Linked DNA regions of Macaca fascicularis. The protein of the gene in region 1 interacts with the protein of each later gene in a biochemical or structural test. Links are inferred from orthologs where the notes say so. Each region holds a gene or a part of one and is shown in the gene's direction. Other genes may lie near its edges.

The links.
Region 2: the proteins of UBE3A (region 1) and UBE2D1 form a complex in vitro, tested with the Homo sapiens proteins (12 studies listed by BioGRID, with this or other methods). The link is inferred for Macaca fascicularis from reciprocal best matches to the Homo sapiens genes UBE3A and UBE2D1.
Region 3: of the proteins of UBE3A (region 1) and RAD23A, one has a biochemical effect on the other in vitro, tested with the Homo sapiens proteins (9 studies listed by BioGRID, with this or other methods). The link is inferred for Macaca fascicularis from reciprocal best matches to the Homo sapiens genes UBE3A and RAD23A.
Region 4: the proteins of UBE3A (region 1) and UBE2E1 form a complex in vitro, tested with the Homo sapiens proteins (2 studies listed by BioGRID). The link is inferred for Macaca fascicularis from reciprocal best matches to the Homo sapiens genes UBE3A and UBE2E1.
Region 5: the proteins of UBE3A (region 1) and ESR1 form a complex in vitro, tested with the Homo sapiens proteins (2 studies listed by BioGRID, with this or other methods). The link is inferred for Macaca fascicularis from reciprocal best matches to the Homo sapiens genes UBE3A and ESR1.
Region 6: the proteins of UBE3A (region 1) and UBQLN1 form a complex in vitro, tested with the Homo sapiens proteins (2 studies listed by BioGRID, with this or other methods). The link is inferred for Macaca fascicularis from reciprocal best matches to the Homo sapiens genes UBE3A and UBQLN1.
Region 7: of the proteins of UBE3A (region 1) and FAF2, one has a biochemical effect on the other in vitro, tested with the Homo sapiens proteins (2 studies listed by BioGRID). The link is inferred for Macaca fascicularis from reciprocal best matches to the Homo sapiens genes UBE3A and FAF2.

The regions. Positions count from the first base shown.
Region 1 is NC_088381.1:3,748,114-3,752,074, forward strand, and holds the end of UBE3A (ubiquitin-protein ligase E3A), read left to right. Parts: intron 1-68; coding exon 69-212; intron 213-1,023; coding exon 1,024-1,144; 3' UTR 1,145-2,955; downstream 2,956-3,961. UniProt on the Homo sapiens protein: E3 ubiquitin-protein ligase which accepts ubiquitin from an E2 ubiquitin-conjugating enzyme in the form of a thioester and transfers it to its substrates.
Region 2 is NC_088383.1:88,326,482-88,330,652, reverse strand, and holds the start of UBE2D1 (ubiquitin-conjugating enzyme E2 D1), read left to right. Parts: upstream 1-1,371; 5' UTR 1,372-1,567; coding exon 1,568-1,591; intron 1,592-4,171.
Region 3 is NC_088393.1:13,350,162-13,353,708, forward strand, and holds the end of RAD23A (UV excision repair protein RAD23 homolog A), read left to right. Parts: intron 1-1,712; coding exon 1,713-1,877; intron 1,878-1,959; coding exon 1,960-2,073; 3' UTR 2,074-2,670; downstream 2,671-3,547. Other genes in the region: GADD45GIP1 (large ribosomal subunit protein mL64), read right to left, coding at 3,235-3,547. UniProt on the Homo sapiens protein: Multiubiquitin chain receptor involved in modulation of proteasomal degradation. Binds to 'Lys-48'-linked polyubiquitin chains in a length-dependent manner and with a lower affinity to 'Lys-63'-linked polyubiquitin chains.
Region 4 is NC_088376.1:24,547,454-24,552,674, reverse strand, and holds the start of UBE2E1 (ubiquitin-conjugating enzyme E2 E1), read left to right. Parts: upstream 1-1,899; 5' UTR 1,900-2,031; intron 2,032-3,185; 5' UTR 3,186-3,218; coding exon 3,219-3,370; intron 3,371-5,221. UniProt on the Homo sapiens protein: Accepts ubiquitin from the E1 complex and catalyzes its covalent attachment to other proteins. Catalyzes the covalent attachment of ISG15 to other proteins. Mediates the selective degradation of short-lived and abnormal proteins.
Region 5 is NC_088378.1:59,861,070-59,865,259, forward strand, and holds the start of ESR1 (estrogen receptor), read left to right. Parts: upstream 1-1,390; 5' UTR 1,391-1,482; intron 1,483-4,190.
Region 6 is NC_088389.1:114,293,590-114,298,020, reverse strand, and holds part of UBQLN1 (ubiquilin-1), read left to right. Parts: intron 1-1,249; coding exon 1,250-1,365; intron 1,366-4,329; coding exon 4,330-4,431. UniProt on the Homo sapiens protein: Plays an important role in the regulation of different protein degradation mechanisms and pathways including ubiquitin-proteasome system (UPS), autophagy and endoplasmic reticulum-associated protein degradation (ERAD) pathway.
Region 7 is NC_088380.1:183,346,227-183,351,112, forward strand, and holds the start of FAF2 (FAS-associated factor 2), read left to right. Parts: upstream 1-1,724; 5' UTR 1,725-1,747; coding exon 1,748-1,810; intron 1,811-4,886. UniProt on the Homo sapiens protein: Plays an important role in endoplasmic reticulum-associated degradation (ERAD) that mediates ubiquitin-dependent degradation of misfolded endoplasmic reticulum proteins.

The DNA.
Region 1 (3,961 bases):
TAAGCTTATATTAGTACCAGTCATAATGAATGCCAAACTGAAACCAGTATTGTATTTTTTCTCATTAGGGAGTTCTGGGAAATCGTTCATTCATTTACAGATGAACAGAAAAGACTCTTCTTGCAGTTTACAACGGGCACAGACAGAGCACCTGTGGGAGGACTAGGAAAATTAAAGATGATTATAGCCAAAAATGGCCCAGACACAGAAAGGTAATGATTAAGTGGTGACTCTATACCTACTGAAAACCTTGCATTCCTCATCACACACATATGAACTGTCTTTATAGTTTCTAAGCACCTTTGTGATTTTATGTACAAATCCTGAAATCATATTAGACAATTGAGAAAATATTTTGCTGTCATTGTGTGAGGAAACTTTTAAGGAATTGCCCTAGTTAAAAATTATTATGGGACTCACATTGGTTTGGAATTTTTCAAATTAGTATGATTCATTTACTTTTTTGATTCCCAGCTTGTTAGTTGAAAGCCATGTTACATGATAATCTATTTAGAATGGTTACATTGAGGCTTGGAAGATTATCATTCGATTATGCTAGAATCCCGTTATCAAATCATTTTCATAGTCATATTGCCAGCAGTATTTCTAATAAGCATTTAAGAGCACACAGTTTGAAATGTTGTAAACCAGGTTTGAATATTTTCTCCACCTTAGAGGAAGTTACTTCTCAGTGACCTAACCTCTGAAGTGCATTTATTGATGTCCTCTCTGTGGTTTTGTTGTGGAAAAAGATTTAGTGAAATGAACTGTAATAATTAAATACCTAAAACGGTATCTGGTATGTAGTAAAAACTCAATGGATAAGTATCTTATCATCATTGTTACTAGCTTTGAGTAATTTATAGGATAAAGACAAACTGATTCTTGGTAGTTACACAACAAAAAGTTTATGATTTGCATTAATGTATAGTTGGCATTGCAAACCATCTCAACTATATATAATTCTAAGTGTATTTCCCATGACTTATTATTTTCCTGTTTTTTCCCCTTTTCTCTATTTAGGTTACCTACATCTCATACTTGCTTTAATGTGCTTTTACTTCCGGAATATTCAAGCAAAGAAAAACTTAAAGAGAGATTGTTGAAGGCCATCACGTATGCCAAAGGATTTGGCATGCTGTAAAACAAAACAAAATAAAACAAAAAAAAGGAAGAAAAAAAAAAAAGAAAAAATTTAAAAAATTTTAAAAATATAACAAGAGGGATAAATGTTTGGTGGTGATAGTGTCCCAGTACAAAAAGGCTGTAAGATAGTGAACCACAGTAGTCACCTCTGTCTGTGCCTCCCTTCTTTCTTGGGGACATGTGGGCTGGAACAGCAGATTTCAGCTACATATATGAACAAATCCTTTATTATTATTATAATTATTTTTTTGCGTGAAAGTGTTACATATTCTTTCACTTGTATGTACAGAGAGGTTTTTCTGAATATTTATTTTAAGGGTTAAATCACTTTTGCTTGTGTTTATTACTGCTTGAGGTTGAGCCTTTTGAGTATTTAAAAAATATATACCAACAGAACTACTCTCCCAAGAAAAATATTGCCACCATTTGTAGACCATGTAACCTTCAAGTATGTGCTACTTTTTTGTCCCTGTATCTAACTCAAATCAGGAACTGTATTTTTTTTTAATGATTTGCTTTTGAAACTTGAAGTCTTTGAAACAGTGTGATGCAATTACTGCTGTTCTAGCCCCCAAAGAGTTTTCTGTGCAAAATCTTGAGAATCAATAAAGATGGAAGGGAGAAATTGGAATGTTTTAACTGCAGCCCTCAGAACTTTAGTAACAGCACAACAAATTAAAAAAACAACTCATGCCACAGTATGTTGTCTTCATGTGTCTTGCAATGAACTGTTTCAGTAGCCAATCCTCTTAGTATATGAAAGGACAGGGATTTTTGTTCTTGTTGTTCTTGTTATTTTAAGTTTACTGGGGAAAGTGCATTTGGCCAAATGAAATGGTAGTCAAGCCTATTGCAACAAAGTTAGGAAGTTTGTTGTTTATTATAAACAAAAAGCATGTGAAAGTGCACTTAAGATAGAGTTTTTATTAATTACTTATTACCTAGATTTTAAATAGACAATCCAAAGTCTCCCCTTCGTGTTGCCATCATCTTGTTGAATCAGCCATTTTATCGAGGCACGTGATCAGTGTTGCAACATAATGAAAAAGATGGCTACTGTGCCTTGTGTTACTTAATCATACAGTAAGCTGACCTGGAAATGAATGAAACTATTACTCCTAAGAATTACATTGTATAGCCCCACAGGTTAAATTTAATTCAAAACATGTTAAACATTACTTTCATGTACTATGGAAAAGTACAAGTAGGTTTACATTACTGGATTTTCGGAAGTAAGTAGTTTCCCCTTTCCTAGTCTTCTGTGTATGTGATGTTAATTTCTTTTATTGCATTATAAAATAAAAGGATTATGTATTTTTAACTAAGGTGAGACATTGATATATCCTTTTGCTACAAGCTATAGCTAATGTGCTGAGCTTGTGCCTTGGTGATTGTTTTAACTGATTACTGTAGATCAACCTGATGATTTGTTTGAAATTGGCAGGAAAAATGCAGCTTTCAAATCATTGGGGGGAGAAAAAGGATGTCTTTCAGGATTATTTTAATTTTTTCATAATTGAGACAGAACTGTTATGTACCATAATGCTAAATAAAACTGTGGCACTTTTCACCATAATTTAGTGGAAAAAGAAGACAATGCTTTCCATATTGTGATAAGGTAACATGGGGTTTTTCTGGGCCAGCCTTTAGAACACTGTTAAGGTACGTACGCTACCTTGATGAAAGGGACCTTCGTGCAACTGTAGTCATCTTAAAGGCTTCTCATCCACTGTGCTTCTTAATGTGTAATTAAAGTGAGGAGAAATTAAATACTCTGAGGGCGTTTTATATAATAAATTCGTGAAGAAATGTGTGCTCTTCAGTTCTCAAGTTTTATTATTACGGTACTGAAGTTCTATGATTTTGTAATAATGTATCCATATGACAAATTTTAAAGTGATAATTGAAATAGGTTATCAGATACAGAATTCACATCAAGTAGACTTCTAACAGAGTCACAATGAACCTACCCTTAAAATTTTAGAGGGAAAAAATCATCAGTTGCACAGACTAGCTGCTCTAGCTTGCTTAATTATGCTAGGCATGTTGTCACTCCCCTTACTTTTGCTGCATGGAATGTCCCTGAACAATAAGGAAGAGGAAAACATAGAAGTTTTGACGATAGTGGATACTTCCTCTACCCCAAATGTTATGTTATAAAAGTACTTTTTTGCCCAGGTACTCTATTGTATAGTTTGGTTTTCTTTGAATTAGACCTCAATCTCCAGGAAGCTCTGGAGGGAAAAAAAGGAACCATAAACTAAAGTAACTGGTTTTCCAAATAAATGCTAACTTTTTTTAACTTTCATTGTAGAACATTTCAAACATAAAACATGAAAACAGCCTGCAGCCAAACTTTTCTGGACCTTGGCAGCTCCAGCAAATGAGCTGGTCATCCTAACCTTGGTTTCCTGAGATAACTACTTTTGGGGATGCTTGCTTGTATAGGGAGATCCATATCAAAAAGAAACTTGAAAATGAGGCTTCAAACAGACCTTGCTGTTATTCATCCCTCCTCGGTACAGACATTCTGTTAGAACAGATGGTTGTAATGGGGCAGCATCACTCCCTGTTCCCATTAAAAACATGACCCTTCTGAGATTCCAGGCCCCTTTGAGGAATTTCCCCAAGAATTCCATACAAACTGTCAGAGAAAGAAATGTCGTCCCAAGACCAGTTCCTGTGTACTCTTGATCCCTTTACCTGCTTACCGCAATTTTTTTTTCTGACTTTCCACCAGTGTCTATCTAAGGGCCATCTGTACCCCTCCCACACTTCCATGGGCCACTGTATAATCCAAAACACACCTTCCATT
Region 2 (4,171 bases), on another chromosome or scaffold:
AGGATATTATTTCATTCTTTTTTATGGCTGCATAGTATTCCACAGTGTATGCCCCATTTTCTTTATCCAATCCACCATTAATGAGCACCTAGGTTGACTCCATGTCTTTGCTATTGTGAATAGTACTGATGAACATGTGAGAACATATATCTTTTTGGTGGAATAATTTGTTTTCAGTTGCATATATAACCAGTAATGGGATTGCTGGGTCAAATGGTAGTTTTGTTGTAAGTTCTTTGAGAAATCTCCAAACTGTTTTCCACGATGGCTGAACTAATTTACATTCCCACTAACAGCATATAAATGTTACCTTTTCTCCTCAGCATCACCAACATCTGTTGATGTTTTCACTTTTTTTTTTTTCCTTTTTGAGACAGAGTCTTACTCTGTCGCCCAGGCTGGAGAGCAGTGACTCCATCTCAGCTCACTGCAACCTCCGCCTCCCGGGATTAAGCGGTTCTCCTGCCTCAGTCTCCTGAGTAGCTGGGATTACAGGCGCCCACCACCATGCCCAGGTAATTTTTGTATTTTTAGTAGAGATGGGATTTCACCATGTTGGCCAGTCTGGTCTCGAACTCCCAACCTCAGGTAATCTGCCCGCCTCAGCCTCCCAAAGCCCTAGGATTACAGGCGTGAGCCACTGTGCCCGGCCAAGAAGCCAAGTTTTAATGGGTACACAAGTGCCCAGGAATTGGAGAGTGGGGAGTGTGCGTTGACTATTAGTCAGAGACTGTCAATGGAAGGGAAGGAGTCAACGATGGGAGTGAGAGCTCTGAACTCGGTGTTCGAAGCGGGTAATTTATGGGAGGGGCATACCTATGAGCAGACAATGCACTCAGACACGGAAGATCTGTGCATTGGACAGAAGAGACACCTTTTTCCTCTGCAGTAAGAACCAAGGAGGTAAGTAAGGGGTCTGATAGATATGAGTTTGTGCATGTGTGCTGGGTGAGTAATTGAGATAATTCATATATTTGAGAAAAGACAGTGAAATATTTAAAGGTAAATATAATAAAACCAGCTGTGGCACCTATTGGATAAGGAATTACTAACTGATGATTTAGAAATTCCTTTATGTGCGTTAGGAGCTCATTTGTTATCCCCATTTTACAGATGCGCAGCCCCAGGTTCAGTAACTTGCTCTAAATGAGACTGTAGAGACTAACTCCAGCACCCGGCAGCTCTCACCTTAAGCTGCCTGGCTAAGGTCAGCAGCAAGTAACCTGGCAGCGTCTGGGGGCCTGCGGCCGAGGACAGGGCTGGAACTACACTTCCCAGTATGCCAGGCGGGGCGGGGCGCGGCGGGGAGGGCGCAGGCTCCTTCCCAGAAGCAAAAGCGGAAACAAAAGAGTCTCGCCGGCCTCCCCGCCCGCACACTCGCGCACACTCGCGCTCGGGCGCAGACGGAGCAGGGACCGGCGCCCGGAGCGAGCCAGGGAGCGGCGAACCGGGGACCCACCGCGCGGAGCCAGCTGAGCTGCCAGCGAGCCCAACTCGCGAAGACTCACGCCCCCGAGCCCCGCAGCCGACCCCTGCCGGCCGGTGTCCCCACCGCGATCCCTGATCCATGGCGCTGAAGCGGATTCAGAAAGTGAGTGCCGGGGCCGGGCCTGGGGCTGCGGGGCAGCAGGGCAGCGGCGCCTGCCCACGCTGACTCGGCCAGTGGTCCCGAGAGATATGCAGGGAGAGCACGGGATGGAAGGGTGGGCCGGGGTGCGGGCAGGGAGCTGGAGGCTCGGGCCCGGCCAGCGGGCACCGGACAGGTTAGGTGGGAGCGGGGGCAGATCCCAGGCGGCCGGGGGAGCTTGAAGGCTGGGGGCCCGTGGCGCGCTCGCGCCGGGGCCGCTCCCGGAGCCCCAGGGTAGAGAGCCTCCTCCGCGTCCAGACCGCCCCGAAATCTGTGCTTCACGGTCACGGCTGGGTTTTGCCCTCCATGAGGCTAGTTTTGACCCCTGTCATGCTGTGTTTTCTCCAGGCTGTTTCTTAAGCCTGTCTCTTTTATGTTCTTGCTTACCCGGGCTCCCCGGGAGGGCACGGAAGGTGGGGTGGGCCTGCAGCCTTTCTCCGCGGAGCTGTCGGGTTGGTTCTTTCTCCTCTGCGGTTGGCTCTTGCTCAGTTGCCCGAATGGGCTGGAAAGCCCATTTGCGGCCAAGAAGCCAAGAGAAGGCTCCTGCCCCTTCTATTTTGGTGCCTCTGCTGCTGCCACTTCAGGTCACATAGCTGTAGCGAAAACATAGTTGCTGATACACAACAAGATGACCTCCTGGCTGTGATTCACGGTGAGTCAAGCCAAACAGGTTTTTTTTGCCCCTCATGGTAAACTTAGATGTAAAGTTCGAGACACAACATAAACTGTCGCAAATAGATTGTTTTGATGCTTTGACACATGGGTATAAAATGAGGAAGAAATATGTATCTTCATCCAACAACTGTTCACCCATCTCAACCCTGTGTGTGGAATTGTCTTTTTTTCACAGTATTTATTGCCACCATTTCAGAAGCGAACATCCTTCAGAATTGATATTCGGGCATTTCTTTCTGTTCATTTTTATTTCTTGTTGGTCTGTGTACTGACCCAAGTTTTAGGTTTTACAGTTACAGTTCACACTGGGAACATTGAGAATGTGTTTGTTAAATAGGGAGTGCTTTTCACTAAGTTAAGCAACAATGGTCAGTGTATTTTGTAGTTGTTTCAGAAGAAATTAATGCCCACATTTTTATCTACTTTTTTGACCAGTAGTCCATTATAGCAATAGTAAATGTTAGAGAGTGATAGTGACGTACACATTGTATTCTGACTAGCCACTAGTGGCATCTTTAGGTACAGAGGACAGCAACTTTTAGAGCCTGCCAGTTTTTTATTTTCAAATTCTAAATCTGTTGATCACCTGTTATTTTTTGTCCCATTTAAAGGTCGTCTCATTGTAAAACATACAGTTAACAATCAGCATCAGCATTTATTAAGTTATAATGTTTTCTTGTTTGAAGATAGTTCAGTTACACGTTGTTTTATATAAATATCCTAATTTTGAAGCCTCAGTCGGCCTCTTTACCATAACTTGCATACTTATTAATGACGACGTAATATTGGTTCACATTTGGATCAGAAAATGCACATCTTCCAAGGAAGTTTTCAAATTCTATTTCCTTCTTTCCTAGTTGTGAGAATTTTTCACATGATTTTGCACATACAAGAGCTTTTTAAATTATCACTGTGTTTTTTTAAGAGATGGGGATCTCAGTATGTTGCCCATGCTGGTCTTGAACTCCTGTCCTCCAGAGAGTCTGGGATTACAGGCACAAGTCACCATACCCAACTATAACAATAGCGTTTAAATGCTGTGCAATTTGTCCACAGTAAGTGGATATTCAAAGAAATATGAACATTGTTTGTAAATACCATACTTGGCAGTTCTCGTCAATCACCATGCTGAACTGGTGTATTTGATTTGTATTTATAATGTGTGTGTCCAAATCTTTTCTTTTTAGTATTTATTGGTTATTAGTTTATAGAGTTGTTCAGAAAAAAAAAATTACTTACATGGAATTGATATCAAACATGTGACAAATCGATATTTTGGAGAAGAAATTGGGATCATATACCATCACATCTCTGTGCGTTCATCTTTGGCTTCCCTTTCTGATATCAGGCAAGTTAACTTACACAAGTCTTTCCATTAATCACACATTCAGACCGTTTCCTCAAACCTTAGGGGTGATTATTTTGATTGATTCCCTATTTTTCCTCCTCCTTTATCTACCTCCTTGATTAGAAGCCAATTCTAGGTCAGTTGTGCCGCCTGCCATATGAACAGTTATACCATCTTCTTCTTTGATGTCATCAGTATAGACATTCTTATTTGAATCTTTCATGTTCCAACAAATGAAGATGTATACTAACTTTTGGCCTTTCTTCCTAAGCTCCTATTGAAGTGTTACTATAGTTTTCCTGTACCTAAAGTTGCAGACTGTAGAGCTGTGTGGAACCTCAGATAAGTCTGCCGTAGTGTACTAGAGGGTACCAGCACGGGAACAGCTTCTAGGGTAGTGTCTTAGAATCACCTGAGGGACGTTTTCAGACTGTCGTCACTTCTATAAATGGAGAGGTGTTGAATCCCTCAGATGGGTTGGGGTGGAAAGAAGACTGAGAACCACTGATGTTCTGGCCTGT
Region 3 (3,547 bases), on another chromosome or scaffold:
CCGTGAACCTGGTAGGCAGTGCTTGCTGTGAGCCGAGATCGCGCCACTGCACTCCAGCCTGGGCAGCAGAGCGAGACTCCGTCTCAAAAAAAAAAAAAAAACAGAAACAAAAATGAACAAACGAACTTCCAGATACCTAAACCCAACACCCAGATGAGTTCACTTTTTTTGGTTTGGTGGCTGGTGGGTGGGAATAGAGACACAGTCTATGTTGTCCAGGCTGGTTTTGAACTCCTGGGCCCAAACAGTCCCTCCTGCCTTGCCTCCCAAATTATTGAGGTTACAGGTGTGAGCCACCACACCCAGCCAAGTTTACCTTTCTAAAAGATCCACAGACCACGTCTTTTCCCCTGTAACTGTCACCATCGTGGCTTCCCCCTGCTCTAGAAAATGGGTCTGACTTGGGCCTTCCTCTCTGGTGTCATTGTCTGCTTCCTCCCCCTTCCCTTTTTCGCTCTGTTTTTTTGTTGTTGTTTGTTTTTGAGATGGAGTTTTGCTCTTGTTGTCCAGGCTGGAGTGCAGTGGCACAATCTCGGCTCACTGCGACCTCCACCGCCTCGGTTCAAAAGATTCTCCTGCCTCAGCCGCTGGAGTAGCTGGGATTACAGGCTTGTGCCACCATGCCCTGCTAATTTTGTATTTTTAGTAGAGACGGCGTTTCTCCATGTTGGTCAGGCTGCTCTCAAACTCCTGACCTCAGGTGATCCGCCTGCCTCAGCCTCCCAAAGTACTGGGATTGCAGGCGTGAGGCACTGTGCCCAGCCACATTCACTCTGTTCTTGCTTCTGTTTCTGAGACTTCCCAGATGCATCCACCCTGGGCCTTTGCACTTGCTCTTTGCTTTACCTGGGGGAAACCTTCTGCATCCCCTATACTGCAGGCCTGTCCTCCAGCCCTCGTCTGCAGTTCCTTCCTAGCCAGACACCTGCAGTTGTCTGGTTCATTTATTGGCTCACTTACTTACTATTTTTGAGACTTTGTCGCCTAGGCTGGAGTGCAGTGGCGCTATCTCAGCTCCCTGCAACCTCTGCCTCCCAGGTTCAAGTGATTTTCCTACCTTAGCCTTAGCCGTCTTGAGTAGCTGGGATTACAGGCACGTGCTATCACACCCAGCTGATTTTTGTATTTTTAGTAGAGATGGGGTTTTACCATGTTGGCCAGGCTGGTCTCCAACTCCAGGCTGGTCTCAAATCACCTCAAGTGATTACTGGTGTGAACTACTGCACCCAGCCTATTTGTCTATTTATTTATTCAAGACAGGGTCTTGCTCTGTTGCCCAGGCTGGAGTTCAGTGGCTTACTGCAGCCTCCGCCTCCTGGGTTCAGTCTCATGCCTCAGCCTGCCAACTAGCTGGGATTACAGGCGTCTGCCACCACACCTGGCTACTTTTTGTATTTTTAGTAGAGATGGGGGGTTCACCACGTTGGCCAGACTGGTCTCGAACTCCTGACCTCCAGTGATCTTGACCTGCCTCTGCCTCTTAAAGTGCTAGGATTACAGGTGTGAGCCACCACGCCTGGCCTATTTCTTGGCTCACTTAAAAGCCCATCATCAGCTCCTCCAGGGCAGGGCTTGTGTTGACTGCTATGTTGTGTTTGGCCAGAATAGGCTCCTCTGGATATTTGCCTGACTGAATGAAAAAGCAAGGGCTCTGATGACCTGGGGAGAGGAGGGGCTGTGAATTACCTTCCCTTCCCCACCCTCTCCTGCAGCAAATCAGCCGGCACCAGGAGCAGTTCATCCAGATGCTGAACGAGCCCCCTGGGGAGCTGGCGGACATCTCAGATGTGGAGGGGGAGGTGGGCGCCATAGGAGAGGAGGCCCCGCAGATGAACTACATCCAGGTGACGCCGCAGGAGAAGGAAGCTATAGAGAGGGTAAGAGGCCTGGCTGAGGGGTGACTGCGGGTGGGCAGGACCCCTACCCTCTGCTGCTCACACTTAACCCATCTTCCCACAGTTGAAGGCCCTAGGCTTCCCAGAGAGCCTGGTCATCCAGGCCTATTTCGCGTGTGAAAAAAATGAGAACTTGGCTGCCAACTTCCTCCTGAGTCAGAACTTTGATGACGAGTGATGCCAGGAAGCCAGGCCACCCAAGCCCTCACCCTACCCCTACTCCATGAAAGTTTTATAAAAGAAAAATATATATATATTCATGTTTATTTAAGAAATGGAAAAAAAAATCAAAAACCTTAAAAAAAAAAAAAAAGCAAACAGTCCAGCTTCCTGTCCTCCTAAAGTGGCCCCTGTTCCCATCTCGGTCTGAGAAGACCCGGGCCAGACAGCTGTCCCCCCATCCTCCTCCCCAGCCCAGCCTGCTCAGAGAAGCTGGCAGGACTGGGAGGCGACAGATGGGCCCCTCTTGGCCTCTGTCCCAGCTCCCTGCGGCCAGATGGAAAGGCGGCTGCTTGCCTCTCCATCCTCCGAAGAACCCGAGGACCCCTCCCCACCCCATCTTCTTCTAGGATGAGAGGAAGCTGGAGCCCCAAACTTTGCCCAAATCTTTCCATCTGGGGCAAGCCCTAAAAGGCCCAAGGCCCTCTCCCCAGTCTGGCTTTGGCCTCCAGCCTGGAGAAGGGCTAACATCAGCTCAGTGTCAAGGCCACCCCCACCCCAGAACAGAACCGTGTCTCTGATAAAGGTTTTGAAGTGAATAAAGTTTTAAAAACCAGCCCTATGGTCTGTACCTGCTGGGGCTCCCCGCGCCTGCCTGTCTGGGTTTGGGGGCTGGCTGGGCACAGGCAGGCATGGTGACGGGTGCCGGGAAGGGGGAGAGGAGTCTGTGAGACCCTGCAGATTGAGGCTCCCAGTGTCTCCTCCCCCAGTGTGCCATTTCCAGGCAGTGGACCCCAGCCCAACCTTGCAAAGACTGCTGCTCCCCAGCCCCCACCATCATCACCACAGTCTGTTTTGGCTATACTCCCCCCTCCTGCACCAGCCCTGTAATTGGCTAATTACTGGAGATGAATGTTGGTAAACAGAAGCCGCCTTCTCTTCTGCCATCTGCTTCTCCATTATTTGCCCATTGCACCCCCCTTTTCCTCCCCCTGAAGCTCCAGTTAGTCAGCAGGGCCTAGAGTCCCTGTCCCCTTTTGAGTAGAGCCAAGTGGGGGATTCCCCAGCCCTTAAGTATTGAAGGAGGAACCAGGGGACCCAGAGAGGCACACCTTGAGAGGACACAGATCTCTTCAGGGGTACTGCCAAGTAGCAGGCTTTATTGGGAAGGGACAAAGCCTCAGGAGCTGGGTGCCCCAGAGGCTGCTGGGTCCTGAGCTGCAGCTGCAGCTGCAGCCAATGCAGCAGCTCGCGCCTCCTGCTTCTGTCTTTGTTTTTCCTCCTTGAGGCGCTTGCGCTCCTTCTTCTCTAGGTCCTGGAGCAGCTCCTGGAAGCGGGCACTCTTTGGGTCCACTTGGTAGCCCAGGAGCTCCTGGGCCTCAGCCTGCAGTCGGGCCCTCCTCTCCTTGTCAGCCTGGGCCTTCTCCCAGCGCTCCCGCTGCTGCTGCCGCCAGTTCACAATCATCTGTGGCATCTTGGCCATGCACTCTGCG
Region 4 (5,221 bases), on another chromosome or scaffold:
AGCTACTGTCTTGATCACTTCAGCAAATCAAGCCTTTTATTTTCCTGTGATCTCTGCTAGTTCTTGTCTTTATAACACATGACTTTACTGGTTGTATTCATCATGTGGATATATATTTTTAAGTATCAGAAATCCAAATTTTCATAGGAGGAAATTTCAATTTTAATAACTATTTTTAGATTATTTTCTTCATCCTGAGTTTATTTCATCTGCTTATTGTTTTCTCCTGAATTTACACCTTTTCATCAGAACAAAAATACAATCGGTTTTTCAGAAGTTTAAAAAATGTTTCAAATACACAGCAGAGACGTCATCATTTTTATATACTCTACCACGACTCCTGGAACCAAACACTTAAGAAAGGTTACGTCTGGAGACTTTTTCAAAATCTATATGCATTTCAGTGGTGGAGAAATAGTTCTGTCTGGAAGCAGGAGGCTGAAATTATGACCCTGAAGATATCGCCCAGCTTTTGAACTTCTTATTCTGTGACAACTCCTGGCAGATACAGGTTTCCTGGTAGGGATTGAGCAAGAAGCATGCACAATTACTTTATGAGTCTTGATAAAGCTGGAGTTTCAGGTTGATGGTAAGAAGCAGTTCGGCTGGGTCGTGAGAATGCTTGTTTTCCTGGTTACTGGATATGCCATGGGCGTATATCTTGTGTTGTCCTGTAGTAACTGAAGCCACTGTTGCGCGGAAAATGATGGCAGTTTGAATGAGATAATTTAGAGTGAGCTATGGAAATCTGAGGCTGTCTCCTTAATGTACAAGACCTTGTATGTGTGGCACTGGTGTATCTGAATGGCACACATCTCTTCAGTTCCCTTCAACTGAAATGACAAATACGTGAGAAACTAAATCGTAATTTGACAGATTAATATTAAAAAAACAAATTTGGCAAAAATGCTACATAAGGAACAATTCAGAAGAACTGCTGATCATTTCAAAAATATTATTTGAATAGCATTTATATGTAGCTAACGAAAGCACTGCGATCCCCAGAACTTTCCATCCAATTTCCAAAAACCAAACCTTGTATCTAATGTAAAATGACACCAAAAATTCTAAATCCAGTCTAATTCAGTAGTATATAGCTTATACCCAGTGATTTCTCACATTCGCAAGCCCCGTTACACGTTGGTTTTACCTGTCACCAAAACCTTTGTATCACTCTTATAAAACCACATCACTTTCTATAAAAAGTGACTGGAAGAATCTAATATTGTAAAACTGCACGTGCCTCGCGTGACCTGAGCAGAAAATTCCTGGTTTGGGATTTTCTCACAGGCGTGCCTAAACTGACCTCTGCTCCTAGCAGGTAAATTGCTAGAAGGAGAAGCAAGTGTCAGTCCAAAGAAAACCCCTGTTGTGTGATTTTTTTATTCTCTTTAATCGCTTTTTAGGTGGAGTTCCCGCTGCATTCTCTAAAGTCTTTGCCACCACCAGATTACCATCTTTTCCACCAATTTGCCACCTCCCTACCCCTCTCCTTTCCAAAAGCCCTCACTGGAAAGAACTTTCTCTCGTGACCCCCCTATTCCATCCAGTTCCAATCACTCCCAGCGACCCCATCTCCATTGGCTTCCCCTCTCCCGCCCAGAATCCAGGTTCCCAAACCACTTAAGAGAAAATTCACACCCCTCGCCCCCTTCCCGGGCGTCCGGAGGAGGCGCTGGGGTGGGGGTGTGGGGGGGGGCACGGTTTCCTGGGGTCTCCTGGGTCTTCCTCGCGCACCCCCAGGAGGTGTTGCAGGGGGAGGGGAGCGAGGGTGGGTGGGACCGGGCCGGGTGGGGGAGGGGTGAGGGCGAGGAGGAGGAGGAGGAGGAGGAGGAGGAGGAGGAGGCGGCGGCGGCGGAGGAGTGGTGTGTGTGCGAGCGTGTGTGGCTGGGGGAAGCCATTGCCTGTTTAATAGTTGCTGTTGCTGCACTTCCGCTTCTCTCCCAGCGAGAGAGACACGAGTGGCCAGGCCCAGCCGCAGCCGCAGCAGCAGCCGCCGCGGCGGCACGGAGGAGCCAGACACAAAGAGAGGTACGGGGATCCCCCCAGCGGCCCGCCGCCCCCCGGCCGCGCCGCCGGGCCTCGGGGACACCCCTCGCCGCCTCCCCCGACTCGCGCCGCCGGGGCCGCCGGGCCGCCGGGCACGGGGCCGGAGGGGGGAGCGGAGAGGGGCTGGGGAGCCCCAGGGGTCCGGGGCCCGCCCGCGGGGGATGGGCAGGGACCCCGGGCCGCTTGGGGTGCGGGGGCCGCCCGCATCGGGGGCGGGGGTCATTGTGGCTCGAACTGTCAGCGCTGCCCCAAGAGCCCCCCACTGGCCACCGAGGGGGCCGGGAGCGGGGGTGGGGGGGAGTTGGGGGAGCCCCGTTTTCCCCAGGGGCGGGGGCTCACGGGGATTAACCCCTCCGGGGCGGAAGGGCTCATTGTTATTTCTTCGCTGCGGAGGCCGACCCCCCCCCCACTCCCCGCCGCAGCCCCTATCCCCCTCCAGGAGTGGCGATCGGGCGTGTGCTCCGGACCCCCTCCCGGCCGCGCAGCCGTGAGCGGGGCGGCCCAGAGGCAGGCAGGCCGGGAGGGGCGTCGGGGCGCGGCGCGGGGGGGCCTCGGGCCTTGTCGCCCGTGCCCCCCGCCGGCCTCTCCCTTCCCCCACCCGGGCACCCGCTCCCCGCCTCCGTCCCCCTGTTTCGGCTTCCTCTCTTACTCCTTCCCGCCCCTCCTCTCTTCCCGACCTCGCCAAACTCCTCTCGTGGCCCCACAGTCTCTCACCCGGGCCACCGGCCCCCCACCCCACGACCCCCGGAAAGCGGACAAAAACAGCCCCGAGGCCGGCCGGCTGCCGGGACCTTCCCTCCCTGCCCCGCCGTGGCGCCCCGCGCCCCCGCCCTGCCCTCCTTCGCCTCCCGGGCTACTCCCTCCCTGCCCAGCGGAGAGCCCCGGGGGGCGAGGGAGGGGCCGCTCTCCTAGCTCCAGACCGTTTTCCCACAGCGTTCCCCACTTGGGGCCAAAAATAAACAAGCCGCGTCCGATTTGCAAAAGCCTTAATGGGCCTGCAGACTTTGAAAAGCGAGTGGAGGGCGGTGGGCGGCCGCGTGCGCCCCTGGTCAATGCCCTCCTGACAGCACCTGAGTTCCTTATTTACACTGGCTGCATGGTTTGTGTGTTTCTGTTTTGTTTCCCTCCCCCTGCAGGGGCTGTTTGCGGGGTGGGGTGGGGGGTTCGCTATGTCGGATGACGATTCGAGGGCCAGCACCAGCTCCTCCTCATCTTCGTCTTCCAACCAGCAAACCGAGAAAGAAACAAACACCCCCAAGAAGAAGGAGAGTAAAGTCAGCATGAGCAAAAACTCCAAACTCCTCTCCACCAGCGCCAAGAGGTACCGTACTCTTTTTTTTTTTCCATAGGCTTCCTATTTTCCGAACTGCCTCTTGCTGCATTTGGTCTGCCTCCCAATGAGGATAGCTTAAACGCTCCTCATGGTTTATGTGTTCTTAAAAATGAAAGAAGGGCCTTGGAAGCCCTAATTATTTTCTCTATTGCTGCTTCTGTTTTTTTTTTTAATCATTGCTCACATGCAGCTATTGTGGCTTGCCTCTCGCATTTCTTGCTGAAGTTTGTAAGAATCTTCATTACTTTTATTAGTGACCCCCAAATCTGATTTCAGATTTCTTGTCCTACTAATGGTCGATCTGTGACCTTCCCCAAGGCCATCATCCCATTTCTTAATTACTAATACCAGCCCAGACAACTGCATCAAAATGAATTCTGTGACCATTTTACCTTCTCCTCACCTGTTGCATGGATGATCTTTTCTAAATAGAGCTTTCTTCACAAATTGCATAAGGAATAAAACTCGTATTAGCAGGTACAAAATTGAGTAGGTGAAGACGTGTTTTATGGTGGAATTTAAAGAGATTTTTCTGAGAGTTGAGGCAAATGAATGAATCAGTAAGTGATTATAAAATAGTTATTCTAGGTTATTTTTGTGGTTCTCTTTTGTTCTCTTTAAAAACTTCAGTTTACCAAATTTCAGGGAAACTTGTCTTTTTTTCATGCTATTTGCTGTCCTCATGCTGTGAAAATGTTACGTTGCTTTATTTTTTCAATTTAAGCAGTCTCTCTTTTTCTTTATTCTTTTCCTCTTAAGGCTCTGGAGGTAGCTACTTGTTACTCCTGCCATCCTTCAGTAATATCCTCTGATCGCCATGACCCTTAAAATAATCTTTAGTGGATTCCTAGGAGCCCTGAGACACCCTTTCATAAATCCTTCTGCTATCAGAGTTAGGCAGTTGTTAAAAAGGTGGCAAACCAGGAAGATAGTAAGAAGTCCAAATGATGGGTTAGATAGGGATACCCGTCTTAAAAATTTTTAAAATAAAGTGGAACATGAGACTTTAGATCTCTCCACTGAGTAGTGAGCCTGAAAGTCAGGGTTTGAGAGTTTGTTCTGTCATTTTGCCTGACTTGTAATTTGAAAACTTGGCAGTGTTTTGGTGACCTAACCATGAGCTGATGAATGAGTGACTTTTTAAAAATAGTGTGGAGGTCTTAAGTGGCAAGGTGCCTCTGCAAGATTGTTCTCATTTTTATAGGTTTGGTTTGATTGTACAGCTTCTCAGGAGGCCTAACTGACCCTCACTGATTAGCCCTGTGCGGTTTTCCTGGAACCTGGCATCTACTCTGCCCACTTGGGACAGGCCCTTCCTTAACACTGCCCCCCACCTCAATCCTCTAGGCTCTTTGATCCTCATTCACTTTTTGGCCTCACGTGCTCAAGCCGGGATACTTGCTTTTGGTAATTTGCATTTTTATATTTTGCTGGATATCCCTGGTGTACATGAATATATTTGGGGGTAAAGACCCAGTTATCAACTAGAAAATACTCTGCTTTTATTGTGAGTGAATTACAGAGAGGGGGATTTTTTTCACTAGACGTACTTTGTCCTTTTATTTTAAACAAGTTAAAAATTTATCTGGAAGTTCTGGAAAAGAGATGGTAGGTGTAGAAAAATGAAAGGTGGGAAGCTACAAATAGTAATTTTACCTATAAATTAACATCAGTGCTTTTGTTTTGTTTTTGCAATGAATTTAGCTCCTTGATAATCTTGCTGAAAGAGTAGCTATTAGTGTTAAAGCAGACCTAAGGTTAATAGCAAAAGGTAAAAAAAAAAAAAAAAAAAGGAGAGGGACAGTGTATCCAGGAAAGAGAATGGGGAAAATTGATGTT
Region 5 (4,190 bases), on another chromosome or scaffold:
AGTTGAAAGAAAGGAACTATTAAATGAGATTTAAAAAATTTGGATATATGTTTTTCGTGTGAACATACCTAAAGCATATACACGTAACCAGAAAATTAAAAGATGGAAAAATCTGCAGAGAGTGACAAAGGAAAGCTGGTGCATTTGTATTAGTATCAGATAAAGCTCATGTTTAGATAAAAAACATTATAGTAATAGAGGAAGTCATAAGGTTAAAGTTTCAATTCACCAAGAAATATCCATTCTAAACATGTATACATACCCAATTAAGCTGCCTCAAAATATATATGACAAAAATTTAGAGAATTGTAGAGTCAGATATAAGGATTGAAAAGGAAGAAATGAAACTAATTATTTTCAGATGATATATACATTTACATAAAAAACTCCAAAGAATCTTCAGATAAATTATTAGAAATTGTAGGAGAGCTCAGCAAGAAGGCAGGATATAAAATTAATATACAAAAGTCAATGTCATTTCACTATACTAGAAAAAAGACAATAACATTAGAAAATAAATCTAACATAAGATGTAGAAAAACTTATTAGAGGAAAAATTTTCTTGAGAAATATTAAAGAAGATCTAAATAAGTAGAATTACATCATATTCATGCATAAGAAGGCAACATTTTGAAGATGTCTTGTTATATATAGGCCTAGGAATAATATAGTTTTAAGTTATGTTATTTTGAACTGTAGATGAAAGAAAGCTCTTTTTTTTCCTTTGAGTATTTTAAGATTTTGAATAAAGTCATAGTGCTCTAGGAAGGTTGTAATATTTTATACTTCGCCAGCAGTGTTTGAGAATGCTTACTTCCTACATTATAACCACCATAAATATTTAAAACCTGATAGCACACAGTTTTAAAAATTTGAAATTCTCCAATTAACAGTGACCTTTAAAAATTATGTTTACTGGTCTCCATTATTTTGTCCTTTGTAAATTTTTATTAGTTTTTCTGTTCACATGTTCCATTTTTAAAATAGACTTTTAAGAGCTGTTTGTATTAAGAATATTAAGGCTTTGTCCCTATAATTAGTATTTTTCAGAATATCCTTTCTAGGTACAGTTTTTCAGTTCTAGTGCACAGAATGGAAACTTGTTACCTGCTATACCACATTTTCACTAGGATGTGATGTATTTATCACAAACAACAGTATTGGTCAACATTTTCCCTCGCTGTGAAGTGCACATTTGACATCCTTTAGAAAAATTACTGACGGTTTTGAGACGATTGTTTTGTGCTTTCTTTCAGTCAACGTAATTTTCCCGAAAGCAGAGATGACTCTTCCAGACATGCTAACAATGCCTGAACAAACTGTGTAAGCTTAGTCCAAAAAAAATATTTGATTAATAGATTTTATTCTGGTAGATTCTAAGGTTCTAAGCAGTCAGAGAAATAATCGCAGAGCCTCAAATATCTCCAAAATCTGATACCAATCCCTTTGATTGTGAATTATATTCTGTAGCTACCAAAGAAGGTAAGTTTTAATTTTTTCTACTCTATTAACTTTCCCTTGGGCAACTGAATATTAAGATGACTATGTAAGGAGGTTATCAGACCAAGGCCTCACACATCAGGATAAAAGCACATGCCATAGAAAGAACATTTGTGTCTCACAAGGTGATACCAAGGCAAGGCTATGGGATATATATGGGCACAATGTTGATATCTTCAAAGACTTGATACATAGTCTGGAGGTTTTCAGAGATTTTAATTTATAATGACAATCTTTCAAATTAGGAGAATTTTTGGACTGTAAAGTTAGCCAAACAAGTCTTCAATGATAAAAAAAGTCTATATCTTACACAGGGGGAATACATTTTTTGTTCGTTTTAATTTTTTCTCTGTCTATTCATACAGGGGCATCACATGTCTTTATCATTAAAAACTCTGATTTAGATAGACAGTTGTAGAGAAATTTAATGTGTGGGAATTTAAAGTTGTTTTATAAAGATGTAGCAAAATATAAATTTAAGACCCACAGCACCAATGAAAAAGGGAAATTAATTAAACTAGACAACTTTTATGGGTACTACCCATTAAAATTAAAATTTTAGTCATTGTAAATTATATTACATTGTAACAGTTTTCAATCTGTTGTCAAGTTAAATATTTTGGGTGACAATTGTATTTCACAGTTGTTCACACTTTGCATAATTTTCTAAGGAAAATGAGTCCCTTGGGGAGAAAATTGTTCTAAAATTTTATTGTTGGATAATGTTGCTGCACTAACATGATTTGCTGAAGTGGATCTACCATGTGTGTTTAGGTTTTTGTTCTTTACGAAATGTGTTGGGTGAAATTTTCCATAACACTGGTGAACTTTTCATGCTAATTTTCCAGTCCGTCAGTTTAAATATTATGCATTTTTTCCTGCGAATCTATCTTGAATCTGAAAAGGCCCCAGAAGGAATTAGCATGAGTCCAGAGTAGATGGACTGCAAATGTTACTCATATTTCAACATGTATCCAGCTTTCAGAAATAGCTTACTGAAATCAAGGTTGAACCACATGAAATTTTGGGGTTTTTTTGGATGTAAAAAAGGTTAAATATTGACATTTTCATATCATCCAATCTAATATCTTCCTCTAGTGAGGTTCTGGCAAAAAAAAAAAAAAAAAAAAAAAAAAAAGTATGATGACCCGAGTTGTTCACTCTTTTAAGCTTTATATTTCAAAATATTTTTAAAATTTAAAGCCATATAAGTGCATCCCAAAAAACATGGGAAAATTTTGTAGGCTACTTTTGTTTACTGATTTTTCTTCTATAGATTTATTTTTATGCTATGCCTGACTCTCCAATTAGATTTTAGTCATCCAGGAAAGTACAATTGCTCGTACTTCTAAGCAATTCTCCCATCACCTGGACATTAACTGCAGCCCACACTGCAGTGTCTTGACTGCAGTAGGCACTCAGTAAATATTTATTGATGGTCCTGATTATGGGATGATGAAATATGCTAAAGGTAACTTAAACTTTTGTCAATAAAACTGAGTTTCAGGTTAGTTTGACCTTTTCCGTATCTCTAAATATTTTCTTTCATGTCATTTTTGTGAAATAGCTCACAAAAGTACTTATTGATTCTGAAATCCTTTTCCCCTCTGGTATTCCTGAGCTATTCTCACTCACACACAGCACACCAGTGCCATCGTTTGCTGTTTTGGTTAAAATCATTCTCATTAATATTCCTCATTCAGTAAAAATAGTTGATTCTCAGTTATAAATATACACTTCATATTGGCATCCAACTGTTATGTGGGATGGAAAACAAAATGATGATATTGACTCCATAAGATAAACAGCAGTCTTTAGAATAGAGTTTGGTGCATAACTGTTCTAAATGTATCAAAGTTATCTCATTTAATCCTCCCACACACCTGTGGGAAGAGAGTATTTGTCTTGCTTTACAGATAAGGAAGCTGAGGCTTAGAAGATTCATATGTCTAACTAAGATCACAGAGCTGGTAAATCAGCCAAGTTTGAGTCTAAATCCAGGTTTTAAATATCATATTACATGTAGGCATAGATAAGCAAGAACAGGTTTTCCTGAAGATGGCCAGGCTAAGGCTTAGAAGAAGGAAGCTCAAGGAGACTAAACCAAGATATGCTAAGGCAAGTTTTTTTGTTTGCTTGTTTGTTTTTGAGACCGAGTTTCGATCTTGTTGCCCAGGCTGGAGTGTAGTAGCATGATGTTGGCTCACCACAACCTCCGCCTCCTGGGTTCAAGTGATTCTCCTGCCTCAGCCTCCCGAGTAGCTGGGATTATAGGCATGCACCACCATGCCCAGCTAATTTTGTATTTTTAGTAGAAACGGTGTTTCACTATGTTGGCCAGGCTGGTGTCGAACTCCTGACCTCAGCTGATCCGCCCATCTCAGCCTCCCAAAGTGCTGGGATTACAGGCATGAGCCACTGCGCCTGCCCTGCTAAGGTAAGTATTGACCATTAGAGGAGATGACTAGTCCTAGTGACAGGTCTTTCCTACTGGGAGTCAGCCAAGAGCTCCCCACTTTTCTGGTTCCGTTGTTCCTCCTGCAAAGTTCCATTGATAAAGTGGTTTCCCATTTGATTGTCCAATGATGCAAATCTCCAGTCCTTTATAGCATTGAGTTGCTTATGGCCTTTTACCGTTGAGTTTCTCATGGCTAATGAATGCTATTGAATTGGTGTTCCCATTTATCTAT
Region 6 (4,431 bases), on another chromosome or scaffold:
GTATTTTTAATAGAGATGGGGTTTCCCTATGTTGGCCAGGCTCGTCACAGACGCCTGACCTCAGATCAGGCCTCCCAAAGTGCTGGCTTTACAGGTGTGAGCCACCTTGCCTGGCTTATTTCCTTTTAGAGATAATACTAAATAATAATCAGGCCAGGCACAGTGGCTCACGCCTGTAATCTGAGCGCTTTGGGAGGGTGAGGCAGGGCCATCACCTGAGGTCAAGAGTTCCAGAGCAACCTAGTCAACATGGTGAAACCCCATCTCTACTAAAAATACAAAAAATAGCCCCGGCACAGTGATGTGCACCTGTGGTCCCAGCTACTCAGGAGGCTGAGGCAGGAGAATCGCTTGAACCTGGGAGGGGGAGGTTACAGTGAGCCGAAATCATGCCACTGCACCTCCAGCCTGGGTGACAGAGCAAGACTTTGTCTTTAAAAAAAAAAAAAAAAGGTAATAATTATTAATCATATTGATTGACTTTCTTTTGGTGAACTCTCACTTTTTATTGTTTTCAAGAATTTCAGGGGCCTTAGTAAAACTGGCTCATAACCCTCAAAAACTAGAAGGGGATAGATAAAAAAGTTGTGGGTTTTTTTGTTTGTTTGTTTTTAAAGAGTCTCACTCTGTCGCCCAGGTTGGAGTGCAGTGGTACAATCTTGGCTCACTACAACCTCCACCTCCTAGGTTCAAGCAATCCTCCTTCCTCAGCCTCCTGAGTAGCTGGGATTACAGGCATGCACCACCACTCCTGGCTAATTTTTGTATTTTTAGTAGATACAGGGTTTTACCATGTTGGCCAGACTGGTCTTGAACTCCTGACCTCAGGCGATCCACCTGCCTCGGCCTCCCAAAGTGCTGGGATTACAGGCGTGAGCCACCACACCTGGCCAAGATAAAGAAGTTTTTTATATAGTCAAACTTTGTGGGTGTAACTGGTTACTGACTTCCCTCTTATGAAATAACCTATCTCCCTCTGTTACATAAGCAATATGATTAAAACTAATGAAATATTTATGTACGTTATACTCAGAGAGGAGGGGCAATTGCAGCATATTTTGTATTTTGCAGGATTTTATTTTATTTTGTACTTTTTGTTCCTAACGCTTAGTTTTCTCAGGCTTTTTATTAAATGATAATTTGATTTCATCTGAGAGTTTACTCTTTATTTCTAGATGTCAGGATTTCAGTGGTTCTTTCAAAAATAATCAGCTCTACTGCTTACTCTGTGATTAATTATTTTCCCTAGGCCTCAGGATCATTCAGCTCAGCAAACAAATACCGCTGGAAGCAATGTTACCACATCATCAACTCCTAATAGTAACTCCACATCTGGTTCTGCTACTAGCAACCCTTTTGGTTTAGGTAAGTGTCTTTAGTCATCTCCATAGGGATGGGAAAAAATACTCCTTTCCCTTCCTGGGTAGCTTCAGATAAAATGAGAAAAGAAAACGTTATGTCACTTTAACAACAAAAATTTAAAAAAAAACTTATATATTCCTATAATTGTAGATATTAAGGAAATAGGTAGGGATATGGATATTCTTACATATCAGTTGGTGCCTTTCTTTTTAATAATGAAAGAGATGTAGTGTGTGTGTACCTGATCTGACTACCACATAATTTAGTATGAGTAAGATTAGCTGGTTATTTATTTATTTATTTTTTTGAGACGGAATCTCGCTCTGTTAGCTGGTTATTAATCATAAGCCAGCGTCCCTGAATCATAATTTTTTCATCAGTAAAAGGAAAGAATCAGACTGCATTAGTTATTTTGTAACTGTCCTGAACACATGGAAAGGGGTCTGGGAAGCCAGCCTAGCCTAAAACTGCTTTTGCTTTTATTATATTAGTTTTGTTTTATTTTTTAAGAGAGGCAGGATCTTGCTCAGTCACTGAGGCTAGAGTGCAGTGGTGCCATCATAGCTCACTGCAGCTTCAGACTCCTGGCTTATGGCGTCCTGCCTTGGCGTCCCAAAATGCTGGGGTTACAGATGTGAGCCACTGTGCCTGGCCTGTATTAGATTTATATATTGAGGTTCTGTGGAAGATTTTTTTTTTTTTTTTTTTTTTGAGACAGAGTCTTGCTCTGTTGCCCAGGCTGGAGTGCAGTGGCGTGATCTGGGCTCACTGCAACCTCCACCTCCCGGGTTCAAGCGATTCTCCTGCCTCAGCCTCCTGAGTAGCTGGGATTACAGGAGTGTGCCACCACGCCCGGCTAATTTGTTTGCATTTTTAGTAGAGATAGGGTTTCACTGTGTTAGCCCAGATGGTGTAGATCTCGTGACCTTGTGATCCCCCGAAGTGCTGTTATCCATTATCTTTTGATAATAGATAGCCAAACTCAGTGGCTTATTACAACAAAGCTTCATTTCTTGCTACATTTTTCTGCATGCTACTTGCTTTTTACCGGTTTGTAAGGTGCCCGTCCATATAGTCCCTCAGAGACTCAAGGTAATGAAAGTCGTTTTTCATTCTGCTGTATTATAGCTCTACCGTTTGGAACATGGCAGAAGAGACAGCTAAAGGGTTTTAAGTTGAACCTGCTATACTTTGACCAGAAGTGGCACATACCATTTCTTGTAGTCCTTTGGCATTTCACATAGGCCTGTCCAAGTGCAAAAGAAATAATAAGGCTGCAAAATGAAATGTTTGGTGAGCACTGCAATCTGCTACTGTAGTTAGTCATACTGAAGTTTTTGTGGTTTCAAGAATGCATTAATACATTTATCTCTGTGCTTTTTGTATATGGTGTTCATTGTGCCTAGTATTCAGTCCCCCTCCTAACCTTCTTTACGTTTCCTTGCAAAGTATTTATGCTCCAGACTCATTAAGTGTTGTCTCTTCTTCTGAAAGTAGGCATTCCACTTAGGTTATATTACCATAATATCCTGTGAATATTCTTTACTGAAGTACTTAACATCTGTGTAGACATTTATTTTCTTGTCTGTCTTTCCCACTAGATTGAGTTCTGAGAATGTCTTTCTCTTTGCCTTATTCTCAATACATGTGTAGCACAGTCTCTGGCATATATAAAAAGTGCTTAGTAAGTGAGGAATGAATGCATTTGGTTGGTTATGTAATTTTACAAAGTAAACACTTTGTGATTACCAAAGTAAGCACTTGGTCATCCTGTTGCTCTGTTAGGTTTCTCCTTGGTTTAAGTCCTCCAAAGAGAAATCTATTTCCAAGTGTTCCCTGGCATTCTGTATCCTTGATTGGCAGTATCAGCCCTCTTGTACCCAGAGTTTATAGGTGAATTCTGCTTCCTGTTAATAGAACTTAAACTAGTCTTTTGGAAAGATTATTAGAACTATAGTCTGGTGTGTGTATTTATTATTTCTTCCTTTAGCTGGCATATTCTGGAGTGTTTTTTTCTGACACCAGCCAGTTGTCCAACACCAGCTCTGTGTCCAAGATTCAGTTTCTTTTCTGATACTGCCTACCTACAGTTAGTATCCGATCTCACAAGTTAGCAGACTTAGTCCTACAAGACTGCCCCTACTTCAGATACTAGTCACAAGTTCTAGGCCACCTGTACTTCTGACTGACCAGTTCTAAATTGGGGGTTCCCCTGACCTCCTCCTCAGGTTCAATAATTGCTAGAATGGCACCTGGAACTCAAGAAAACACTTATACGTTTACCTGTTTATTATAAAGGATACAACTCAGAAACAGACAAATCTTGAAAGAGAATTATAAGGGCACAAGGTATGTGGGGCATGGAAGTTCAGCTCAAAGGTTCCAGGTCCCCTCAGCGCACAACTCTCCTAACACTCAGATATGCTTTTCATGTTGAGTTTTCTTAATCTTATTGTTCAAGAATTTGCATAGAGCTCTATCTCCAGCTCCCTTCCCTCACTTTCTTGGTGGGTGGGGCTGAAAGCTTCAGCCCTTTAATCACTTTGTCTTTCTGGTGCCCAGCTCCTTTCTGAGGCTATCCAGGGGCCTAAGTCACTTCATTAGCATAATTTTCAAAAAGGGCTTGTAATGAATAATAAAAGATACTCCTGTCACTCAGAAAATTCCAAAGGTTTTAGTAACTCAGGATCAAGGAGAAAGACCAAATATATTTATGTATTATACTACACACATGAAAATATATTTTGTTGATTTTATTACTTAAATTTAATAACCAAAGTGTAAATTTTTGGCTAATTTCAATGATAGGAATTAAATATTAGTAATAGGTATTCGGTTTGTTTTTAAATGATTTCTTGTGATAGACTGTTGGGTCAACTAATACTTTTTTGCATCTTCATAGTTTATGTCATGTTAATGATAAATTTTCTGACTTGGTTTGTATGTTTTTGCCCTTTGTCTTCTTAGGTGGCCTTGGGGGACTTGCAGGTCTGAGTAGCTTGGGTTTGAATACTACCAACTTCTCTGAACTCCAGAGTCAGATGCAGCGACAACTTTTGTCTAACCCTG
Region 7 (4,886 bases), on another chromosome or scaffold:
GTCAAAAGAACAAAGCTGGAGGCATCACGCTACCTGACTTCAAACTATACTACAAGGCTACAGTAACCAAAACAGCATGGTACTGGTACCAAAACAGAGATATAGACCAATGGAACAGAACAGAGTCCTCAGAAATAATACCACACATCTACAGCCATCTGATCTTTGACAAACCTGAGAGAAACAAGAAATGGGGAAAGGATTCCCTATTTAATAAATGGTGCTGGGAAAATTGGCTAGCCATAAGTAGAAAGCTGAAACTGGATCCTTTCCTTACTCCTTATACGAAAATTAATTCAAGATGAATTAGAGACTTAAATGTTAGACCTAATACCATAAAAACCCTAGAAGAAAACCTAGGTAGTACCATTCAGGACATAGGCATGGGCAAAGACTTCATGTCTAAAACACCAAAGCAATGGCAGCAAAAGCCAAAATTGACAAATGGGATCTCATTAAACTAAAGAGCTTCTGCACAGCAAAAGAAATTTCACGTACTCTTCACAGAACCAGCGCTGAAAGCCTTTTCTGTCTCACCAGATCAGCCTTGCAAGGGGATGAGAGTGGGGCGCAGGCAGCTGAGAGCCTTGCTGGGAATCACACAGGTCGTCCGTGGAAAAGCGTGTACCAAGACCCAGGCCTCTCTGGAAGGTGGGCAGAGGAGGCGTTCGGAGGCAGAGGTGGAAATGAGAACAGGAAATCTAAAGAGAGGTGGCGGACGAGAAGGGGCAAAGGACGTGCAGAGGAAGATAGAGATTGAGGGATGGTGATAGGGCAGTGTAAGCAGCAGAAGGGAAGGGCAGGAAACTGCCTCGAAGAGAAGGGGCAGCGGCAGCACGTCAGGGGCTCTTGGTGAATCTCATTCAACAAATGGCAAAATGGAGCCCAAGTGGTTTGCCCAAGGATGTCCAGCACTTGGCAAGGTGGCAGCTAGAACCCGCGTCTCCTAATGGCGGTCCAGGGATCTTTCTTCGCCTGTCACAGGGACAAGGGGCCAGTGCAGCGCTAGTGCGGAGAGACAAGACTCTAGGCACGGAAAAGCAGACGCCGGGCCGGGGCTCCAGCGCTGCAACCACGGCGGTGGACGGAAAGCTCTGCCGACGGCTGGGGGCGCCATGAATCGTCGAGGATCCGGGGAGCCCAGTCCAGCCCTTCCTAGCAAGCGACCGCGAAGCGGCAATGGGACGGTGGTCGAAGCCTGCCCACAGCTTCCGCTTCGAAGGCGGCGTTGGAAATGCCGCGCCAGTATCCTTCGGCACCTCCCGAGAGATGGTCAGGAGCTTTTGGAAACTTTAGGTCAGGGGCCAAAGACCAAAAGGCTGGTATTTCGGAACGGCCACATCTCCTGAGAAACCTCCAAGAATAACAGGTTGCCGGAAAAAGGTTAGAGAGCAGCCGAAATCAGCCGAATGCCATTCGGGGGCTCCGGAGTTTCTCGAGGCACATTCGGGCCCTCTCGGCTCTGCAAGACTCCACTGGAATCTCAGGTCTCGAGCAGATCGTTTCGTCGCCTAAAGGGTAAGGGCGACTTGTACCGACAGTCCCTCGGCAGTTTCCGGAGGTGTTCGGGATAGGCCCGAGCGTGGCGCCCTCTGGCGGCGACCAGGGGTGGGGTAGGGGTTAGTGGGCCAGCGCGCGCAGACGCAGCTGCGCGCCGGCGGTCGTTCAGACCGGATGTGGTTGTGGCTGAGGTCAGTTCCGGCGGGTGACGGTGCGGACGGGTCAGGAGCGTAGAGGCGGCGGCAAAATGGCGGCGCCTGAGGAGCGAGATCTAACCCAGGAGCAGACAGAGAAGCTGCTGCAGTTTCAGGTAGCAGCGAGTACTCGGTGCAGCAAATGCCTCCGCGGGATGGGGAGTGGGCCCCTAGAGGAGTTCAGAACTTTCCTCAGATTGGGCTCAGATTCTTCTTAGACCAGCAGGCCGACCCCCTCCCCCCAGACTCCAACTGCCCTGATTCCCCCGGCCCCCAAGCCTCTGTTGGTCCCTATCCTTCCAGCCATCGCTGCGGCCAGACCCGCCTCGTTTGTGCTTCTGTGCCCTCAGCGTGTCAGCTTCCCTGGTTTCCCTTAGCGGCGTCAGTCCTCAGCCATCCTTCCCAGCCCGGTTATCGGTCGGACCCTCTCCGCCCAACGAGTCTGTATCTGCCGGAGACGCTTAATCCCTACCGCGGAGTTGGCGTCAGTTCGGGTCTCTGACAGAAAAACCTCCTGCCAACATCCCATGCCATTTCCACAAACATTCCCACAAACTGAGGCCTCTTGGATACCAGGTTTCGTGTTGGGGGTTCCGGTCGGGAAGGGGGCATCTACACACAGACCTGGTCCCCGCCCTAGAGGTGTGGGAGGACACCAAGTGAGAAAACAATGCAAGGTGCTAAGTGTCATCAGTGGCTTCTGACGGGATTTATTACTTTTGGCTTATTCCTGGATTCCTGTGCTTCACTATGCTTGAGGAGGGTGGTAACTTGCAGGAATGTTATGTTAATACAGGACGTCGTATTAAGAACGTTTGCCACTAATCACTTACCCTTGAGCTGGAGAATGGTTGGAGATACCACTAGGGTGGGTAACCTTGGCACTTTGTTACCAGTTTCTTATCTCTGAAGAGACTGTCTTAAAAATATCTACCCCCAAGCCGGCCGCGGTGGCTCACGCCTGTAATTTCTGCACTTTGGGAGGCCAAGGCGGGCGAATCACGAGGTCAGGAGTTCGAGACCAGCCTGGCCAATATGGTGAAACCCTGTCTCTACTAAACATACAAAGATTAGCCGAGCATGGTGGTGCACGCCTGTAGTCCCAGGTACTCGGGAGGCTGAAGCAGGAGACTCGCTTGAACCCGGAAGGCGGAGGTTGCAGTGAGCCGAGATCGCACCACTGCACTCCAGCCTGGGCAGCAGCAAGAGTGAAACTCCGTCTCAAAAAAAAAAAAAAAAAAAAAAAAAAAATCTACTTCCTGAGGATGTTCTGGAGATCAAATGGACATATGGATGTCAGAAGGGCCTTGTGGACTGTAAAATGCCCCCAAATAGTATTTCTGCTATTAATTTGACTTAGGATAGACCTAACGTTATTGATACACTTATTTCCTTATATAAAATGTGTAAATATTCATTTATTCAGCTATATTTATGAAGAACCTTAGTGCTCAGCGCTGCTAGGTGGAATCCCACTTACTATTTCAGATGTAAGTGCTTTGTAAACTTAGTGTACATAACCTCATTTAATACAACAACCCTATGAGGTTCATACTGTTACAGTCGCTGATTTACAGATGAAGGGTATCAGGACCAAGAAATAAAATGCTTAGGTTACACAGCTAGAAAGTGATGATGTCAGATTTAAAGCTATGTCCATCTTCCAGAACCCTTCCCAGGCTTCTGACTTCTGTCTTGTACAACTTGTATGTCAGTGTACAGTTGAGTGTGGAATGCAGATGCTGAGATAATAAATATTTTTTTGGCGAGTTCTCACTTTTCTGCAATTTCCTTGAATAGACTTCACTATAATAAATTTTGAAGTGATTATTTTTTTCCCCTCTTAAATTGAGCAGTGGGTTGGAAGTGTATAAATGGAAAAATGCTGTCGTAGATGTAATTGACATTTGATTGGAATTTTTGGTAGAGAAATTGAATTGATGACCCAGCAAATTATAATTAAAGAATGAGTAAACAGCAGACAACCAGCTTACACTTCCATTACACTTCCAGGTAGACCACCAATTTCAGAGTGTTGTTTAACTTTGGCAGACCATTTTACCCCCTAGAACTCTTCAGGGGTAAGCTAACATGTTGTTTAAGTGCAATGAAGCAATGTGAGTTATGGTATCTTTAGTCTCATACTGGGAGAGCATGAATATGAATATATGATAGCATTTCTGAAGTAAAGTGCATAGGAACTTCCATCTTATCTTCTGTGGAGTTTTTTTTTTTGAAATGGGGTTTCGCTCTTGTTGCCCAGGCTGGAGTGCAGTGGCGCGATCTCGGCTCACTTCAACCCATGCCTTCCGGTTTCAAGCCATTCTCCCGCCTCAGCCTCCCGAATAGCTGGGACTACAGGCACGTGCCACCACACCCAGCTAACTTTTTGTATTTTTAGTAGAGACGGGGTTTCACTATATTGGCCAGGATGGTCTCGATTTCTTGACCTCATGATCCACCCGCCTTGGCTGGGATTACAGGCGTGAGCCACTGCGCCGGGCCAGAACTGTGGAGATTTTTATTAGAAGAGAGGTGGGTAGCAGGTTTGAGCTGTATTAAGATTGCCTTATGAAACTGGATTTATTGAGGGAAATGCATCTTTTTTTTTTCCATTCTATAAGCAATCGCTGGATCAGATTCATTATCCAGATTGCCATTAAACCAACATTTGTTGAAACTCACTAGATGCCAAGCATTATACCAAGCATCAGTTGATGTTCATTAACTCTTTTTTTAAGAAAAATATTTTAGGCTGTGTGCGGTGGCTCACGCCTGTAATCCCAGCACTTTGGGAGGCCGAGGCGGGTGGATCACCTGAGGTCAGGAGTTCAAGATCAGCCTGGCCAACATGACAAAACCCCGTCTCTACTGAAAATACAGAAATTAGCCAGGCATAGTGGCACATGCCTGTAATCCCAGCTATTAGGGGGACTGAGGCAGGAGGATCGCTTAAACCTGGGAGGCGGAGGTTGCAGTGAGCCGAGATCGTGCCACTGCACTCCAGCCTGGGCAACAGAGCGGGACTCTGTCTCAAAAAAGAAAAAAAAAAAAAAAAACTTTAAAAGTAGAGATGGGGGTCTTGCCATGTTGTCCAGGCTGGTCTCGAACTCCTGCCTCAGCCTCTCACAGTGTTGAGATTACAGGTGTGAGCCACCACACTTGGCCCCTTAACTCTTTTAAATCTTTTAA